5 linked regions of the Nothobranchius furzeri genome follow. The protein of the gene in region 1 purifies or fractionates together with the protein of each later gene. This does not show direct contact. Links are inferred from orthologs where the notes say so. Each region holds a gene or a part of one and is shown in the gene's direction. Other genes may lie near its edges. The genes, in order: ago2, dhx9, tarbp2, gemin4 and tnrc6c1.

Region 1 (4,219 bases):
AACGGTGTTACAAAGTGGCTGAACTAGTCTGTCCAAAAAAGAAAAGGTGAAGTGGATGCAGTGGTCCATCAGGTCCTTATAGGCTATGAATCATAGAAATCTGCTCAGTGTCTTAACATTTTCTGCTTCAACGAATTTCTGTTAATTTAGACACAGTAAAAGGACCACATTACCTGCATGTGCATCATGTACATCACACTTCATGACTGATAACCGCTGCAAAATGTAAAAACCCTTTTTGGTTCATCATAATGTAAATTTGTCTGCCTTTGTTACCAAAAACCGTAGTTTGAGTGCATCCGAACCTACATCATAACACGGAGCCAAACAGCCTGTTTCCCATCAAAAACAACGTGATTTGTCCCTCTGTGTCCCTGAGACGGAATGGAGACACGTCTAGGGTGTCCTCCACCTCTCATCTAATGACTGCTTGATATAGTCACTAGACATTTTGAAAATTAATAAACATGTGTGTGTGTGTAACTCGTCATGAAAAAAGAACAAACACATATAAATAGTCCCTGAACCTCTATACTGTCTGTGTAATCAGTTCTCCTCATATCATTTTAGTGTTTTATTCATAATCAACTTCTGACATGCGCACTTTACACCAAGCAAGTTTTAATTAAATATTTTCACCATCAAAATATAAAAAGCAAACCACAAACAAGTTGATTTCAGATTGCTGAAGCTTCCCATATCACATTAAATGTTTTAATGCATAGCAAACTAAAATGTGTATTTCAGCCGCTTTATTACCCCGGAAATACTTCTTCGGTCTTTAAGTTGTTCCTGTGACTTTTTCTTTTTAGTGACTTTTAAATGATACGCATCGGATATCAGTTTAATGATGTCGCATCAAAGTTTAGCTCTGATGAAAAATGAAAGAATAGTTTTTCCGAATTTTCGCTTTTGATTCGGATGGACGCTAAGAGCGCGCAACGTGCGTCTGATGTCACTGAACCTTCCCGCTGGCAAGATAAACCTCCCCATTCATGAGCATTAACTTTTCCACCATGATCGAGCCAAATAACACTGTTAAAGATAACGAGCGATGTTTGAATGAGTTAGCGACAAATTGGTAGAGACGATGTATCAGAAAAACTTATTTATTCAAGTAGAAAAACACTAGAATTCCTGAACGTGCAGCTCTTTTTTTCAGTCTGATAGTGAGGAGTAATTCATTAACATTTTCATTTATGTTTGTGCAGTTTCAAAGTTAGCTCATTCAAATTACATTTCTGACATGTGAATCCAATAAACTGATTAAATCATGATTCTATGTCAGATAATATGACACAAAACAGAAGCTTTGATCGGTTTTGAGAACGAAAGCCCAACAGCGGAAGTGGACGACAGCGAGTTCTCTTGCCCCGCAGGGATTTCAATGCCTCCGTTCGTCTCTGCTCTCGTTTTGTGTTGGGGGGATGGGGTCGTGCAGAGGATGAGAGACTCCAATATTTACCACTTGGCTAACTAAACTTCTTTATCTTCACCTTAGTTTGTTGGAAATACCCAAGTCTGTAGGTTCTGTGTGAGGTTAGGCGGAGGTTGGTCTTCTAAAAGTGGAGTACCGGTCGTCCACCATACGCTCAAAAAGTCGACAAAATGTATTCAGCTGGAGGTAAGTGCTACTAACCATTAGCATCGACTAAGTGGATGATGGATTTCTTTCCAGAACGGCATCAATCTACTGCCGATACATTCTCCGGTTTTGTTTTAATTAACTTATTATTATAAAATAAGTTCTTCAACGAATGATGCATCCTCGACTTAGTGGAGGCGTTAGTACCAAAAGCGAGTTTAGCTGCATTAGCCAAGTTAGCTTTAGCGGCACCTCGTTTCCCCAACTTGGTAAACTTCCTCTGCCCTTAAACGAGGTGGAATGCAGTCACTCGACAAACTGTATAATATTCAACACACATGGTGGGTTTTATTTGCTTTTTTCTTTAAAAGCTGCCACATGCTAACAGTAGCATTTAGCGGCAGCTCATGCTTCCTAATCTCAATCACAAATCATACAAATGGTTACCATAAATGTGTCAAATGAATAGGTTTAAGTTCATTTACATTCTACATCATTTCCCACAAAATTTGTAAAAAATCGAGAGTTGGAGCAATTTTGCTCGCATCCTAAGCAAAGATGGGACGATGTATGTAAACAAAACCAGAATGCAAGCATGTGTTTGTCACGTAAGACCACATTTTTAACATCCGACACAAATACAGCAAATCATAAATATAATTTCTGGGAAAAGGGATGATTTCTGCTTTGAACCACAAGCTCGTTAGAGTAAAGTGGGGATAACTAATGACGTTTGGCTCATGGGCAACAACAAGTTAGCTTGATTGGGTTCAAATTAACATCTGTCATATAACTCATTCTCACTCTCACACACACACACACACACACACACACACACACACACACACACACACACACACACACACACACACACACACACACACACACATATATATATATATATATATATATATATATATATATATATATATATATATATAGACATGTTTCATCTACATTTTATTAAGACATTAAGAATGTTTCTTTTTGGCAGGGCAGGTGGTAATTAAGTTTATTTATTCTTTATTTAACCAGGAAGGTCCCATTGAGATTAAAAACTTCATTTTCAGGGGAGTCTTGGGATTGGTTAAAAAATATATAATCAACAGTTGAATAATGGCGATTAGTTATCTGCTTAAATGCTGAGGTAGGAAGGAAAATGCAGAAATTTAACGAGAAAAGTTTATAAGCAGTTTAACTTTTTTATGCAGAGGCTGAAAATAATCACCTCTGCCATATTTCATTTGCATCTATACCTTCAGGCATTTGTTCTTCTCCATGAGCCTTATTGAAATAAAACTAAACAATGAGCTGAACTGTATCAGTTCTGGGCTGTTTCCTTATGAACGGGTGGCTACATTTATGCTAGATTACCAGCTCGTTTCATCCCGTCTGTGTGTTTGTAGATTAGACATACTTCATTGCAGACGATGGTGCTGGCCGGGATGTGATAAAAGACCGTCTGAAATAGTTAACGATGTTCTGAATTAAAAAATATTTAAAATGGGAGATTTTTTTTCTTTTTTCCAGGTTTTTTATAAAGATTTCTGACTCTATTTGCATTTAATGCTGTAAAACTAGATTTCTGTTTTGTGTTGGGTGCTTTTTTTTGTTTAAGTACAGAGTACTTGAGTCCAAGTTGGATCTTAAACATTTCTAACGTATAATTTTATCCCCTCTAGGTGCTGAGGTTATGGAGAGGCCACATTCTTCTGGGTCCATAAGCTCTGGTAAGCTTTCTTACTTCTAAGCTCTGGTCCCAGGAGAAACATGATATATTAAAAAAAAATATATATATAAATATATATATATATATATTACACCTTTCTGTCATAATGAGATGCACTCTACACAGTTTAACTTCTGATTAGATTATTAAATTATCTACAGAGTATTTCAGCAGGGCTTTGGAGCTTATACCTGTGAAATGCTGATTTTTTTTTCTGTGAAGGACTTTGTATGTCTTATACTGATGTAGTCATTTAAGCTTTGTTCAGCCAAAACGCAAAGTGCTGATGTCATGTGAGCCGTTTACTCACATCCAGGGTATCCGCGGGTCCTTAAAAAGTCTTAAATTTACTTTTCCAAATTTAAGGCCTTGAAAATCCTTAAAAATGACAAATAATCCTTAAATCCAGTTTCCAATGGTCTTAAATTACCAAAGACCCAATAAACAAGATTATTTTATTTCTATAAAAATTTTCGTGAATTTCTAAATTTGGCTCCCTTAAACCTGCAGATACCCTGCACATCTTATAAAAACTCCACATGTTTCTATTAAATTGACACCAGAGACAATTCTGAGATGCTTCTCTTTGTGGTGTAAGAGTCCTGGGGGGAGAAAGCACGTCACTGGTGTTTCAGTCAGCTGGTCGTCTGCTCGGTGCATCAGGGTCATCGAAGGGTGTTTGTATGAATGACCAGAACTGGAGAGTGGAGATAAGGCAGTGAAGGAGTCTGTGTCTGTTCTGACACACTCCGATATCACAGGACCTCTAGAATAATCAGCTCCCATTAATAATAATAATAACAACCTGTTTATTTTCCTGGCTGTGCTTATAGGAATACCTCAGTGTGGATAACTGAATGTGCTGGCCACTGAAACTCCCAGTAAATTAAAGAAATGTCTAGTTT
Region 2 (2,564 bases), about 8.1 Mb from region 1:
TGACAAAGGGCAGCCTTGGCGGAGTCTAACTTTCACTGGTAACGAGCCCGACTTACTGCCGGCAATGCGGACCAAGCTCTGACACCGGTCATACAGGGACCTAACAGCCCATAACAGAGGGCCTGGTACCCCATACTCCCGGCGTAGCCCCCACAGGGCCCCTCCGAGGGACGCAGTCAAACGCCTTCTCCAAATCCACAAAACACATGTAGACTGGTTGGGCAAATTCCCACGCACCCTCCAGGATCCCCCTAAGGGTATAGAGCTGGTCCAGTGTTCCACGGTCGGTCCAGTGACTGGTCTGATGGGCATCCTCCCCCACCATCGAAGCCAACTCACCACCAGGTAGTGGTCAGTTGACAGCTCCGCCCCTCTCTTCACCCGAGTGTCCAAGACAGGCGGCTGCAGGTCAGATGAAACAACAACAAAGTCGATCATCGGGCTTCGGCCTGAGGTATCCTGGTGTCAAGAGCACATATGGACACCTTTATGTGTGAACATGGTGTTCATTATGTACAATCCATGACTGGCACAGAAGTCCAATAACAAAACACCACTCGAATTCAGATCATGGCCGTTCCTCCCAACCACACCTCTCCAGGTCTCACTGTCGTTGCCCACATGAGCGTTAAAGTCCCCCAGCAGAACGAGGGAGTCACCAGAAGGAGCGCTCTCCGGCACCCCCTCCAGGGTCTCCAAAAAGAGTGTGTAGTCTGAACTGTAGTTTGGTGCAAAAGCACACCCATCCCCCCACACGTAAGCGGAGGGAGGCTACCCTCTCATTCACTGGGGTAAACCCCAACGCACAGGCACCAAGATGGGGGGCAACTAGTATGCCCAGCCCTGCTCGGCGCCTCTCAGTGTCTCTGTGTCTTACAAACACACCTTACCGGCATGGCGTTGCACAAATTTAGCATCATTCGTTCGGCCCGCTTGGTAATAATGCGGTAATTGTCTGCCTAATAGACGGCGCGACAGAGGGAGGCGTCATGATGACGTAGGGAGTTAATGCCGAGCTCCGGCCAGCAACTCGATAGAAAATGAAAGTAAACTCCGACTGCAAGTTTTGCGTTTTGAACAAAAACAGCTGAGACAGCAGAGTGAAGGCTGCAGCCATCCAAGAGCTTCTCTCCGTTAGAGCTGGAGCTCAGATCACCAGAGACCACACCGGGGCTGTGGAGGACGGACACAGTTAGGAGCGGCTTGTTAAAAAATACGTAACCATCGTGGCTTCAATTGCAGTAAAAACTAACGGAAGTCCGTGGCAGCGCAGAGACTGCCCTATACCACCGTTATGCCGCCACAGTACTGCCACGGTCTGACCACCTAAAAACGACCTAAGGCTCCCTGACGCCGCCATGGCGTTGATTGTTTAGTTGAAACAGCTTGTGATATTTGGTGTTAAAGAAAAGGATGTTCTGATGTTGGAAAGACTCCCTTGAACTCATGTTGTCATATCTGTGAAATCTGAGTTTCCTTGTGAAGGAAAGGGAATCGTGTAGAAAAAAACACTTGACTGTACTTTACCAGAAGCTGGGGGCGGGATCTTGAGCATGTGACATCACATGTCGTGTGTTTCTGTTGAAACGGAAGCTTGTTGCAGCAGCTCACCTGTTCCTTCCAGGAGCAATCCCCTCATCAGGCAGCAGGTGACCAGCAGAGTGACTGGAGACCAGAAAGTCCCCTGATCGAACCAGTTAAAGCTGCCCTCGTTGGACGGGAGCTGCACATCGGGTTCCTCTCATATTGGGACCCGAGCTGGGCTCCATGTTGGTGCTTATTAGTGCGACTCGTGCGTATGAAACCGTCCACCGTGTGCTACACTAGGGGTACCCGGACCAGAGGTGGGAGGGGCTTTCTAACGGAGGCATTACTGGAACACCTGGTGGTAATCTGTGGGATGCTTCGGTGGTTTGAGCTGATTTAACCTTTGTGTTGCAGAGCTGGACGCTCTGGACTCCAACGATGAGCTGACTCCTTTGGGTCGGATTCTGGCTCGGCTGCCCATCGAACCTCGGCTGGGGAAGATGATGATCATGGGCTGCATCTTTTAGTGGGTTCCTCTCTGGTTCTCCTGACTTGTTGCCTCTGATATGGGGTGACTGACGTGTTTCTCCCCTCAGTGTTGGAGATGCCATGTGCACCATCTCAGCCGCCTCCTGTTTTCCGGAGCCGTTCATCAGCGATGGGAGACGCCTCGGATTCGTCCACAGGAACTTTTCGGGGAACCGCTTCTCGGATCACGTGGCGCTGCTGTCGGTCTTCCAGGCCTGGGACGACGTGAGGTGAGTGAGCCTCAAAGGTTTTAATTACCTTCTGGATCTTCACCTGATCCCTCATCAGTCTTTTGGTGGCTTCATGTTTTGTTTTTATATAAATAAATATATAATCTGGTCTTGATTCGGAAAAGGGTAGAATGCCTTCTCTGGGTCAGGGATGAGGTCCTGCCCCAAGTGGAGGAGTTTAAGTATCTCTGGGTCTTGTTCACGAGTGAGGGAAAACTGGAGCGTGAGATCGATAGGCAGATTGGTGCTGCATCTGCAGTGATGCGGGCGTTGTACCGG
Region 3 (4,005 bases), on another chromosome or scaffold:
AGACAGTAACGGATCTCGCTGTGATTGCTTCAATGTTGCTCACGTTTCTTCAGTAATCCCTAGGTTTTCTTCAGCTCGCCTCTTTTTCGGTTGAATATTTAAAGTTACTTTTTTCGTAACTTACTTGGTGCATTTGATAAGACAGAGCTGACGTGCTGTGTTAGTCACTACCTCCGCTCCCAGGGTCAGATTAACACTTAGTTGTACCCTGGGCAACAATATTAAAGGTCCCCATCATCACGACCCAAGGATCACCATAATATGGTCACATACAGAATATTTTACTGTAATATGCAGTAAATATACTCAATACTTGAATGCCTGACATCATGTAACCCGCTCAGGGTAACCTTTGACCCACCTCGTGTGGAATGACCAATGAGGAGAGGGTCTAAACTTGAGGCCCTCTCTTCATTGGTCAGTCTGAATGAGACTGACTCTCAACTGGCGTTCAAAGTCATAGGCAGCGAAGCATCTCTGTGCAGCGCAAAAGCCCGGGTGGACAGTTTGTTTAATGTAGGGTGATCATATTTCCATTTCCAAACAAGAGGACAGGGGATCTGTGCCTATGACGTCACACTATGGCAACGCCACACAAACCACGTTGGGACCCATTTTTTTGTAAGAACTAAATTAATATCAGATTCTGCCAATAAAACGGCTCTAAAACAATTCATATGTAAATATTTAGCATATTTCTTGCAAAATCTCATTTTTCTGCTTTAGTGCTGCAACAAGGTTTTATTAATAAGAAATCATTATACCTTTTGTATAACCTAACCTAAACATGCACTCAAATATTTCATACAAAATATCTGACCTCTTATCAGCTGACATTTCTTTAATTGATAACAATGCTGACATGGAGTCTGAGCAAATAATACTTTTCCTAACACCATTTTGTTCTATCCACTGTAAACTAAATGAAATGGCTAACATTTCCACTGTATAAACTGACAGATTATTAGATGTTCGACTTTTATAATATATACTTAATGTCGGAATCCAGAAAGAAAATCCCGTTATATTTCCTGACACTTTCGACCCATCAGTATATTTAGGGATGAATGCTTGATGAGTGTCATTCCCACCTTCTGAGGCACAGAAGGCATTTGGGCCAATCGGGGCTTACGCTGCCCAGGACGCAATCTACGTCATAATCGTGTGACCGAGGTTGTCGCTGTAGAGGTGGTTTCGTCTTCTGGTATCCATCATGTTGCAGCTTTAGCTCATCGTTTTGGGACAACAATAAATACCGTCTAATGAGAGTACGTGTCTGTTGTGGCGGGGGGGATTTTACATCCGAAACCGAGCGGTTCTGTCTGCGCGAAACGGGGAATGAACGACGAGACAGCTTCGGATAGCTGGAAGAGAAACTCCGGGGACTCCAGGTGGGATTGTCTTCTTGATAAAAGCCATTTGTATGTAAACAATATAAAATGTCAGAGTCAAAGGCCTCAGAAACTAACGCGTGCATGTTGTTTTAAGTGTTTAATCTTCTGTTATTCTTTTAATCTCTACAGCTTAACTGTTTGACTCATCGTTAATACTCTTTATCTGGTGGCTTTTTACTGCTAGGTTGATTTTTGAGGGATTATTGTAATCTGGAAGGCAACAGGTGGTCAAAAACACTAATATAATGTTTTCCTAAATGTAAAGATCGGCATAAATTACACAAATCTCTTTATTCCATTTGTAATATATGTAATAAAATAAGCTGATTGCAAACATTTCTGGTTCAAATCTTCATTCCAGATGGCTGTAGCTGCCGCCTCACAAATAAATCATTGAATAAAAGTGCCTTCTTTTACTCTGATAATGTAAATAATAGAGTTTTATTGGTTTGTGCCCATTTCCTTTGTACACTGTGAAGAATCTCACCTCAAAACACCACACTTATTATTTGGGTCAGTATTCATTTGGCAAATAATAGTATTTTTTTTCTTGGAAACATATTTCACAGATTGAGCCTTAAAGATGGCACACTTTTCCTATTTCTTGTTGCATTTCGTGAAACTAAAATATAGACAAGTGTAGTTTTTCCACTGAACATTGTAGCGTATGCCCTTTAGATTTTAGCAGCAATAAACTAGCCACATTGTTGTGTTTTGATCTCAGTAAAGATGATAACAAAATAAGTGAACAGCTGCTTATGCTTTCTATCTTTTAAATAGTATTGAGCAAATGCTGGCTGTGAATCCTGGAAAGACGCCCATCAGTCTGCTGCAGGAGTATGGAACGCGGATAGGCAAAACCCCAGTGTACGACCTGCTGAAGGCGGAGGGACAGGCCCACCAGCCCAACTTCACATTCCGCGTCTCCGTCGGAGAGATCAGCTGCACCGGCCAAGGGCCCAGCAAGAAGGCAGCTAAGCACAAAGCAGCTGAGGCTGCTCTGAAGATGCTCAAAGGAAGCCTCGGAGATCCAGCTGGAGTCGCTGTCGGAGAAGACGTGTTTATCGAGGTTGATGTGTCTATTGACGGAGACTGGTCAGGACCCTACTTCATTTTAAAATGTAGAAAAGAACCTAGCGATGCTTAAGTGATGCTTAATGGCTTGTCTTGATTGGATCCAGACGATGTTTCAACATTGAGTTGATGGAAGAGAGAGATTTGTGTGGATTTAGTCTGTCCTCTCATGTTTTATGCAGCTCTCAGTCAGAGATGAAGACTTCCAGCAGTTCTCAACAGTCGGAATGTAACCCCGTTGGGGCGCTGCAGGTAACTACGCCATAGAGACTTTATTTTATCCTGGTAATCCACAACACTGGTTTCTGTTAGAATATTTCTATAGTTTCCTTCCTTTTTTTTTCTGTTTTGATTTACTTCAGGAGTTGGTGGTGCAGAAAGGATGGCGTTTGCCAGAGTACACGGTCACTCAGGAGTCGGGTCCAGCACATCGAAAAGAGTTTACCATGACCTGCAGAGTGGAGAGATTTGTAGAAATTGGTAAATCTTCTCTCATTCTTGTTTGATATCTGCATGTTGTGCTTTCACGCTCAATTGGATTTGTCAAAATCTGCTTTTATGCCAAGTGAAGGAGTGATTTCCTTTTTCCTGTCCAGGAAGTGGCACATCTAAGAAGTTAGCCAAGAGGAATGCAGCCGCTAAGATGCTCTCACGGATCCACGACGTTCCAGTGGACCTGAGGAGCAGCAACGAGGCAGATGCAGAAGAAGATACCTTCAATTTGGTGAGAGCTAAACACCACAGCAGTGATTTATATGCTTGCGCTTAAATTTCTTGTGCAATTCTCAAAATATCACAAACTGTGCCCATGTTATGGTGATGAAGCTTCTCTGCTTGGCTCTACTGTGTCTGTGTAAAACGTGTATAAAATCATCCCATTTACGCAGCACATGGGCAGCAGAGCGGAGTCGGGTAAAAGCAAAAGTTTCAGCTGCACCTGGGATTCTCTGCGTAACTCTGCTGGAGAGAAGATCCTGCAGCTCCGCAGCCACCCTCTGGGAATGCCAGCTGGCTCCAACTTCTGCTCGTTGCTGAGCGACCTGTCCGTGGAGCAGCGCTTTGATGTCAGTTACCTCGACCTCGGTGAGCTCACGCTCAACAGCACAACAGGAGCACCGTAAAGCGGTTAGAAACTCCTCGTTTTTTTTCTTCACATCCATGCTTGTTTGTTTTTCAGAGGAGCGCAGCCTCAGCGGCCGCTGTCAGTGTCTGGTGGAGCTGTCCACACAACCCATCACTGTGTGTCATGGCTTTGCTCCGAACGTAGAAGCTGCTCGAGCCCACGCGGCTCACAATGCACTGCAGTACCTTAAAATCATGGCAGGAGGAAAATGAGACACCTGGGCGCGTTTTTTGTCCGCAGACCCGAACTCGCCACCACGCGATGCCAATGTACACCTCCTTGTTGTACAGTAGAGGCTTTTTGACCTCAGATTGGTTAAGAGACATTTTTATCCTGCCTTGAAGCTAAACACAAGTTTATCTCTAGTTCATTTGTTGTCCAGCTGGTGAAAATCTCACAGCCTAAAACTCAAAC
Region 4 (4,119 bases), on another chromosome or scaffold:
CCCGGTGGTCCACACTAAACTGGCAGTGGAGCTTTTGTTCAGATCTCAGGCTGGTTTTCACCAGTGGTGTTTCTGTTTTCATTACCATGGCAACTGTGAGACCAGATGGACAAAGACAGAACACAGAGAAACACCATCAAAGAACCAGAACTGGAGCTGTTGGCATTATGGAGTGAAACTAACTGACCTGATGTAGTGAGCATCTGTCCATCAGTGATGGGAACCCAGCTGAGGTAGTCCTGCTTTCCTGGTGGAGGCTGGTCAGACGGGTGTCTGAGGAAGCCGAGCACAGTGAAAAGGCCCTGGTTGTGTTTGAGAGAGACGGAGAACCAGTGGTTGTACTCCCTGGCCTTCTGACTGGGCCAGTGGACATAGATGCCCTGTGTGCTGTATCTACGCAGCTCACACTCCAGCTGTTCTGCCTCCACTCCCTCCACATAGTGCCGCATGTCCACCTTGGACCCTGCAGCAGAACACAGAAGAGTAAGGTGCAACCGTTGTCAGGTGTGTAATGGTGACCTGTGTCAGGTGGCTTACCTGTGACCTGAAAAGTGATGGTGCGTAGATCTACAGGAGCTTCTCCTGTCTGACCAAACTGCAGCACAGCATTTCTGGGGATCCGCTGGGTCTCTCTATGTCCTTCATTGTTCATAATCACCTGTTCATCTGTGAAGTGACAGGGCAGCCATAGTATCTGCTGGCTACAGTAGACCCCTGGAGACAGACCAACAACTCAAAGCAGCTGATCCGAGTGGGCTTCCTCCAAAAACACAAACTGTCCCCACACTCGCAGGGATACAAGCCTTCTGAAGACTTACCTGTCCAGATAAAACCGTAAATAAGAATCCTGCAGGGTGGAACCATGGTTATTCATCAGATCTACTGATCCTTGTTCCTGCTTCATTCAGCTGCACATTTATTCTCAGAACACTTTCGCTTTCATTTACAACGAAAAAAAACCTGCTTTGCATGCAGCTGCATCACGTGACGAGCAGAGACAGTTTCACAAGGAGAAATACTGCAAAACACTTTTAAATGTCACTAAAAGCGAGTAACGTTTAAACCATCACACGTAGGGCTGAACCGGTGTTCCGGTCTGGCGGCAGCACTGGTGAACGCGGTGTCTAGTCAACAACGCAAAACCTCGCAACAGTAAAAACAAACCAGTCAACAATCCAACAGAAAAGGCGAGGAAAACAACAACAACAACAACAATAACAACAAGGTGAAGCAGGTTTGGCGGTTTGCTGGGTTAATGCGGCTGCAGTACCGTATCTATCCAGGGGTGGCGCTGTGGGGACGCCTCGCCACCTGACAGCAGCCCGGCTTCCTGCTGGAAACCGGAAGCGCCTTTCCTGGTAACGAACTGGTTCACGAGGCGGGCGGGTGTATGTTCCTGCCTCCGCAGCCATGGACAAAGGTAATTATTAATGTTAGACATGTCTCGTGAACTTGCGCGAGCTTCGTCTCCAGTCGGTAGAGACGAACATGGCGCTAAACGCTCAGGCTGAAGCAGCAAGCTGCAGGTTTGAAGAGCCCTCTCCTAGCCAGTCGTTCGTTCTGGACCTGCTTCACCTGCAGCCTGCCCCCCCTTCACACACACACACACACACACACACACACACACACACACACACACACACACGCACACACACACACACACACACACACACACACACACACACACACACACCTGGATAACGCTGATCTCGGCCCAGCTCGGGTCTCAGCCTGTTGCTTGCCTGTTTTTCAGATTCCGCCGTGCTCCAGGGAGCTTTCCTCCAGGCAGACAAACTGTGCCTCCCCTCATCCCTGTCCCTGATGCAGAAGGCGGACTGGAGTCGTGTGAAGCTCCCGATCCTGCAGGCCCTCAGAGACACCTGTGGGCTGAGCGCTCTGGCCTGGCAGAAGAAGGTTGTTTGTGTGGTGTGGTTGAAGCTGATGAGCAGTGAGGCTGAGGAAGATGTGGAGAAGGGGTGGAGGGACAACCCTTTCTTCTGCCTCCAGAACGGCCTCCCTGACGTAAGCCGGGCTGTTCTGCTGGAGCTGGTGAAGTCACTCTCAGCTGCGCCGGTCTTTGCCCGCTTGCTCCTGCGTCTGCCTCAGCAGCAGATCTGCACCGAGCTGCAAACGCTGGCAGAGCATCTGAGGACGGATCCCAGTCCTGAAGACGTCTGCTTTCTGTTGGAGGTGTGGTGGGAGCTGTGGAAAGGCAGAGACAAATGTCAGACGCAGGAAGACAAAGACTTAGAGATGATGTTTGTCAGCCAGTTTGCACGCCTGTCCTCCGATTGTCCCAGTGTCTCGCCTCAGGCTGCAAAACGCTTAAAGCTGGACCTTCCTGCATCGTCAGCAAACACAGACGTTCTGCACGTTCTCCTCCATGCTCTTAAGAACATGAAAGATCAAGTATCTACTACAGATTTGTGCCTGCAGTCCCTGTTAGTCTGCCTCGACGCTCTTTACACATCCTTCCTAACAGACCCAGAGGTTGTGCTTCCAGTTGAAGAGAAGTTGCTCATCCTCTGTAGGCTTGTTGACACCAGAGGACAGACGCAGGCGTGGAGCCCCAAACTCCTTCAGGAGGCTCTGAGAGACCTGCGTGCTGCTCACTCACCAGCTCCTTTTCAGCCCAGCAGGATGACGCTGAGCCAAGCTTTGAAGATCGTAGCAGAACTCACAGAATTCTGGCTGGAACAGGATCTCCTGAGCGCTCCTGGCTGCTCCGCGTTCCTGCTGCAGCAGAGCGTCCAGAGAGTCCTGGCAGCTCTAGAAGAAACGGGAACATCTGAGCATGTGACTGAGAAGAGCACACTCAGAGGTCTGCTGAGTTCACTGTCTCTTCCTGCCGTAGAGACCCCCCCTCAGGTGCAGGCTCAGGTCGCTGCCACCGTCATCAGTCACCGCCTGGAGGACTGTGAGGAGTTTGCTGCGCTGTTTGCCAGCCAGTTGTCCTGGACTCATGAAGAGCTGTGGGTGGACTGCCTGGAGAAGAACCACACGGCCTTCACGCAGCCCAACACCCTCATCAGCCTCTCCTCCACCCTCGTGAGTCGCCTGCAGCGTGGGAACGTGAACACCACCTGGTGCAGGAGAGCCATTAAAACGGCTGCAGATGTCTTCTCTGCTCTTTCGTTAGAAAACCAGAACAAGGTCCTCGCTGCAGTACCGAGCCGCTCCAGCAGGGGCTTCTTTGGCTGCTCTGTCCCCTCGGCTGTGGCAGACGGCTTTGAGCAAGAGCTGAACATGGCCTTTAACTGCCTTATCCAGGGAGGGGGCGGGGCCTCAGCAGCAGTGTCCCAGGGCCGCCTGACCACAGCAGCCTCTCTGGTAGCTCGAGTGGCCTTTCAGAGCCCAGAGGCGGCTTTAAGGTCCTGCTGCCACGCCGCCGTTTTCAACAGGGGAGCCTTCAGCCTCATGGCAAAGATCCTGCAGCAGCTGCCTGGACTCCGCGGACGGAGGGGAGGGGAGGATGAGGCAAACGGAAACGATGTGGAGCAGCAGGAAGCTGGAGGGCGTGGTAGTCTGTTCTGTAGGTGTTTACAGACGGCGGTCAGAGGCAAGCCACTGTCCGCCTGTGAAAAGGAGCAGCTCCTCAAGTTCCTGTCTCTGCTCATGGCGCCGGGCCCGACGCTCCAGGGAGAGCAAGAGACACAGAGGTTCTTGTCTCCACAGGAGGTGGTCAACACACTGGTCCTGCCTCGCCTCTCAGCTGCAGGTCGGGGTCCATGCTGGCTTTAATCTCATCTGTGTGTGATCTGTAAACGCTCGTCACATTCTGCTGCTGTCCCATCTGTGTTTCTGCAGCTGAAGAGTCCTGCGATGCAGAACTGAGTCTGCAGCTCCTCCACGCTGCTTTGGCTGTGGGTGTCCAGGAAGTAGCCCCCTCCCCTCACTGGGTGTTGGACTGCTCTCCCTTCCCCCTCCTCTATATTCTGGCCCAGCAGTACAACCAGACTCTCATGTGTGTATGATCCCGTGTGTGTGTGTGTGTGCAGCGGTTGTTGTTGGGCTTCTACTCATCTGATCTCTGTTAGGTGCTGGGAGCGGTCGTCGGAGGACAGCGACCACCTGAGCTCCATGGACACCAAGGAGCTGCTGGAGTCGGTGCTGAGCTTG
Region 5 (3,515 bases), on another chromosome or scaffold:
CCCGACCTGCAGACCAAAGAGCCGCAGTCATCCCCCAACACCTACAGCCCCTATGCTCTCTGTGAGTGGCAGGAAGTGTTGATCTGTGACGGTGAGAGGGATCCGATTGCTGAGCATCATTTGTAACATCGGTCTTTCTCTTTCTCCTCAGCTGGACTGAATCCAAACCTGAATCCAAACTGTATCGATGTGGGAAGTCTTCCTCTGAAAGAACCCCCGCAGCCCCAGTCGCGGCTGTCTCAGTGGACACACCCGAACTCCATCGAAAGTCTGTCTGGACACGCCTCTGCTCTTGAGCCCAATCTGGGAAAGCACGGTGAGGAAAACCACAAGATCCAGCTCATCAAGCAGCCTGATGTTTCAGTAAAAGCGGTTTCATTCTGTGAGTCGTCAGTTTCCATAAAGTCCTGGAAGATCAAGAATCAACAGAAATCTTTCAAAACGTAGATCAGGAAATCATGTTTGTATCCTACAAATCATTATTAAATGTATAATTATTATAATTAAAGGAGCATTACGTACAAATTTTACAGTGAAATAATCGCAAAACAGTTTAATGTCTCAGTCAGCGACTCTTAGCCAGCTGGGGGGTTGTCAGTTTTTCTCTCTTTCAAAAACTAAAGAGGGACGCGGTTACTGTTTACAAAGCGTTTGTGAGGTTGCCATGTCTCAGGTGAGCCAACACTGCAGCGCTGGCATTTGTAATTTGACACTGGTCGGCAAAAAGCTCCAGAGATCCTAAGCCAGGTAACAGGAGTAACCGAGAAGTTATTTCTTGTACTTCTAAGAAACCACGACATCTTTTTGTTTTACGCTAATATCTGGTGATTCAGGCTAGAAGCTAACGTTGAGCTAACAATGAATTAGAAGCAAATAGTCGGCTATAAAAATATCTCAAGCAACTTTTTCGATTACCAAAAACTCTGTTACATTGAAACGTGTGTGTGAAGTGAATAATGACTCGGTTGTGGTGTTTTACTTCTTTTAATGAGTCATTCAGAGCTCAAACAGCAAGACGGCGCTGGAGAAATATTACCGTAATAATTGTAGTAAGTGCTCCCTAGCGTAAAACACCCAAAGGTACTAGCACCCAATATGGTAATGCATTTATCAACTTACTTACAACTGACTCGTCGTTGCTTGTCATCTAGAATCTTCGGTGCTGATTCGTTACTGACGTCAGCCATGATGGCTTAGGAAAATGGACTGCAGTTACCTCATTTGACCACATGATGTCATTCTCACTTCATTTTTACATGTTTCACCTTTAAGTAAAGCCATTTGTTTTGTCTGGGTAGGTGCCCCCCTGGGGCCTCCTGGGAAGCCCCCCCAGATGGACGACTCGTACCACCACTACAACCTGATGTCCAGCTCCGAGTCTCCTACAAGCCCGCTGGTCCCCCCCGAAAGCTGGGGGCAGGGCAAGAACAGCAGCGACAAGATGGCAAATGGGACCAACATCAACTGGCCACCAGGTTAGAAAACGTCTACTGTCACATCATGTTTGTGGGTACTTCAGAATGCGTACTTTTACTTTATTCCCTTCGGAGTTTGAAATCGTCGTGAGTGAAAGTAAACAAAAACTTGTTTCAGAGTTTTGTCCCGGCGTTCCCTGGAAGGGGCTACAGAACATCGACCCTGAGACTGACCCTAACGTGACCCCAGGCAGCGTCCCCAGTGGACCCACCATCAACACCAACATCCAGGATGTCAACCGCTACCTGCTGCGGGACAGGAGTGGAGGTCAGACCAACCGCCAGTGGCTGCTTGTGTTTCATACGTTTATGTTGAATAATATGTCTCTTTGAAGATCCGGCTGAAGAGTTTAAAAGATACCTGAAAAATCAATAAACTGAATTTCCTATTTTAAAAAAGTATCAGAGGTTTTAAACCTATCCGGGATCCTGCTGCTGCTTCTTTTCTTCTTTATTTTCCTGCTTTAACTGCTTCTATTTCCATTTTCACCCACTTGAACCTCAGTGATCTTATCATTTGTAGTGCCTTTTTTTTTCTTTGCTCCATTTCCTCTCTTGCTACTTTTTCCTTATTTGTGTTTGTCTGTTGGTGTCGCTGGCGTCGCCTCAGGCTCCTCCCCCACTTCATCTCAGAACGAGGCTCTGCCTCCTTCCGCTGATTGGCCGGTCAGTGCCTACACTAGCTCGTTCAGTCTCTCGTCCCCGGAGATGGACGAAGCAGGTACATGGTTTACCCACAACCCTCTCCCCTCACCCTGCAGTGACCGTGTGGTCCAGAGCTCTAACCCTGCCCCCCCCAAGCCGCTACTCCTGAGCATGATTTTCATTTGAAAGGTCAGCGGTGTTAGCAAAGCAGTCCCTTCTAGTGCCTGGACAGTGTGAAGCAGAGGAGATGCTAGGTTAGTTTACAGCTGACTATGAACAGCTTTCATTCGTTCTGTCTGCTTCTCTTCATAAAAGAATGGGAGATATGTGGTGGTTGTAGATTTGTGGAAAAGTGTTACTTTTTCATTAGATGTGTCCCTAACCAGAGAACCTGCAGCTCTGGGTTCTGCAGACCAACCGTCCTCCATGTTTCCATCCAGGTAAACTGTCGGAGATGAAATCAACCTGGTCCCCAGGCCCCATCTCTCACAGCCAGCCGTCTCTGTCCCACGAGCTTTGGAAGGTCCCTCATGGCCCGCGGAGCAGCACCACCGCCCCCTCCCGCCCTCCGCCCGGCCTCACGAACACGAAGCCCTCCTCCACCTGGGGCGGGAACTCTCTGGGTCTGAGCCAAGGCTGGAGCAGCTCCTACACCACAGGTACGTCACACCCTTCATGTCTCTAATCTGCTGAAAATCAGCTCCGCGCTGTTTAATGATGAACATGAGGCGTTCAACTCTTATCTACTGGTTTACGTCAGAGTTATTATCCCACTCAATCCAGTAGCAGATGGAACTGATGAAGCTGTGATGAACGACTGGACACTTGAAGATGATTTGCTGCAGATTTCCACATCATAAATGAAGACGACGATCTAAGACGGGGCATCTAAGGCTACGTTCACACTGCAGGCCTTGATGCTCAATTCCGATTTTTTTTTTGAGTAAACCAGATTTTTTTGTGTGGCTGTTCACATCATGACTGAAATACAACATCAGATTCTCTCCAGTGTGAACGCTCCTCGGCCCCAAAGAGACCCGTGAAAACTTTCATACCTGTTAATTCTTCCGTTTTGGGCTGGAAACTGTTTTAAAAACTGTAAACTATTTTACTCCTTGTTCCCGCCATCTCCCTGAATTAGTATTTATAGAAAATGTTCCGGTATTAATTCCTTCACGGAGAATCCTCCTCCCTCCCTCCCTCCCTCCCTTCACGGAGACGGAGACCGGTGAGACGCGTCGCTCCAGCAGCACCTCCCGTTCCCGTTCACATTCTCTCTTTTTAATTCCAAAACTTAAAACAGGAAGTCCCGACAGACTCCTGAACCCTTCTGTCAGCGCTTCTCCTCGGGATCATGCACGCACGACGCTCACCTCCGCTGACTCAGTGACGTAG

Evidence for each region.
Region 2: the proteins of ago2 (region 1) and dhx9 purify together in Homo sapiens (affinity purification with western blotting; 5 studies listed by BioGRID and IntAct, with this or other methods). This does not show direct contact. The link is inferred for Nothobranchius furzeri from reciprocal best matches to the Homo sapiens genes AGO2 and DHX9.
Region 3: the proteins of ago2 (region 1) and tarbp2 purify together in Homo sapiens (co-immunoprecipitation; 10 studies listed by BioGRID and IntAct, with this or other methods). This does not show direct contact. The link is inferred for Nothobranchius furzeri from reciprocal best matches to the Homo sapiens genes AGO2 and TARBP2.
Region 4: the proteins of ago2 (region 1) and gemin4 purify together in Homo sapiens (affinity purification with western blotting; 4 studies listed by BioGRID and IntAct, with this or other methods). This does not show direct contact. The link is inferred for Nothobranchius furzeri from reciprocal best matches to the Homo sapiens genes AGO2 and GEMIN4.
Region 5: the proteins of ago2 (region 1) and tnrc6c1 purify together in Homo sapiens (co-immunoprecipitation; 6 studies listed by BioGRID and IntAct, with this or other methods). This does not show direct contact. The link is inferred for Nothobranchius furzeri from reciprocal best matches to the Homo sapiens genes AGO2 and TNRC6C.

The regions. Positions count from the first base shown.
Region 1 is NC_091751.1:26,608,894-26,613,112, reverse strand, and holds the start of ago2 (protein argonaute-2), read left to right. Parts: upstream 1-1,418; 5' UTR 1,419-1,608; coding exon 1,609-1,624; intron 1,625-3,267; coding exon 3,268-3,315; intron 3,316-4,219.
Region 2 is NC_091751.1:34,756,111-34,758,674, reverse strand, and holds part of dhx9 (ATP-dependent RNA helicase A), read left to right. Parts: intron 1-1,941; coding exon 1,942-2,053; intron 2,054-2,123; coding exon 2,124-2,285; intron 2,286-2,564. UniProt on the Homo sapiens protein: Multifunctional ATP-dependent nucleic acid helicase that unwinds DNA and RNA in a 3' to 5' direction and that plays important roles in many processes, such as DNA replication, transcriptional activation, post-transcriptional RNA regulation, mRNA translation and RNA-mediated gene silencing.
Region 3 is NC_091743.1:62,020,030-62,024,034, forward strand, and holds the start of tarbp2 (RISC-loading complex subunit tarbp2), read left to right. Parts: upstream 1-1,195; 5' UTR 1,196-1,338; coding exon 1,339-1,391; intron 1,392-2,174; coding exon 2,175-2,489; intron 2,490-2,650; coding exon 2,651-2,720; intron 2,721-2,830; coding exon 2,831-2,948; intron 2,949-3,064; coding exon 3,065-3,192; intron 3,193-3,355; coding exon 3,356-3,551; intron 3,552-3,645; coding exon 3,646-3,803; 3' UTR 3,804-4,005. UniProt on the Homo sapiens protein: Required for formation of the RNA induced silencing complex (RISC). Component of the RISC loading complex (RLC), also known as the micro-RNA (miRNA) loading complex (miRLC), which is composed of DICER1, AGO2 and TARBP2.
Region 4 is NC_091753.1:62,516,045-62,520,163, forward strand, and holds the start of gemin4 (gem-associated protein 4), read left to right. Parts: upstream 1-1,314; 5' UTR 1,315-1,410; coding exon 1,411-1,420; intron 1,421-1,753; coding exon 1,754-3,718; intron 3,719-3,807; coding exon 3,808-3,964; intron 3,965-4,037; coding exon 4,038-4,119. Other genes in the region: dhrs13b.2 (tapasin-related protein), read right to left, coding at 1-93, 188-463, 538-714, 819-864. UniProt on the Homo sapiens protein: The SMN complex catalyzes the assembly of small nuclear ribonucleoproteins (snRNPs), the building blocks of the spliceosome, and thereby plays an important role in the splicing of cellular pre-mRNAs.
Region 5 is NC_091752.1:53,964,056-53,967,570, reverse strand, and holds part of tnrc6c1 (trinucleotide repeat-containing gene 6C protein), read left to right. Parts: coding exon 1-61; intron 62-151; coding exon 152-316; intron 317-1,298; coding exon 1,299-1,475; intron 1,476-1,593; coding exon 1,594-1,743; intron 1,744-2,560; coding exon 2,561-2,779; intron 2,780-3,515. UniProt on the Homo sapiens protein: Plays a role in RNA-mediated gene silencing by micro-RNAs (miRNAs). Required for miRNA-dependent translational repression of complementary mRNAs by argonaute family proteins.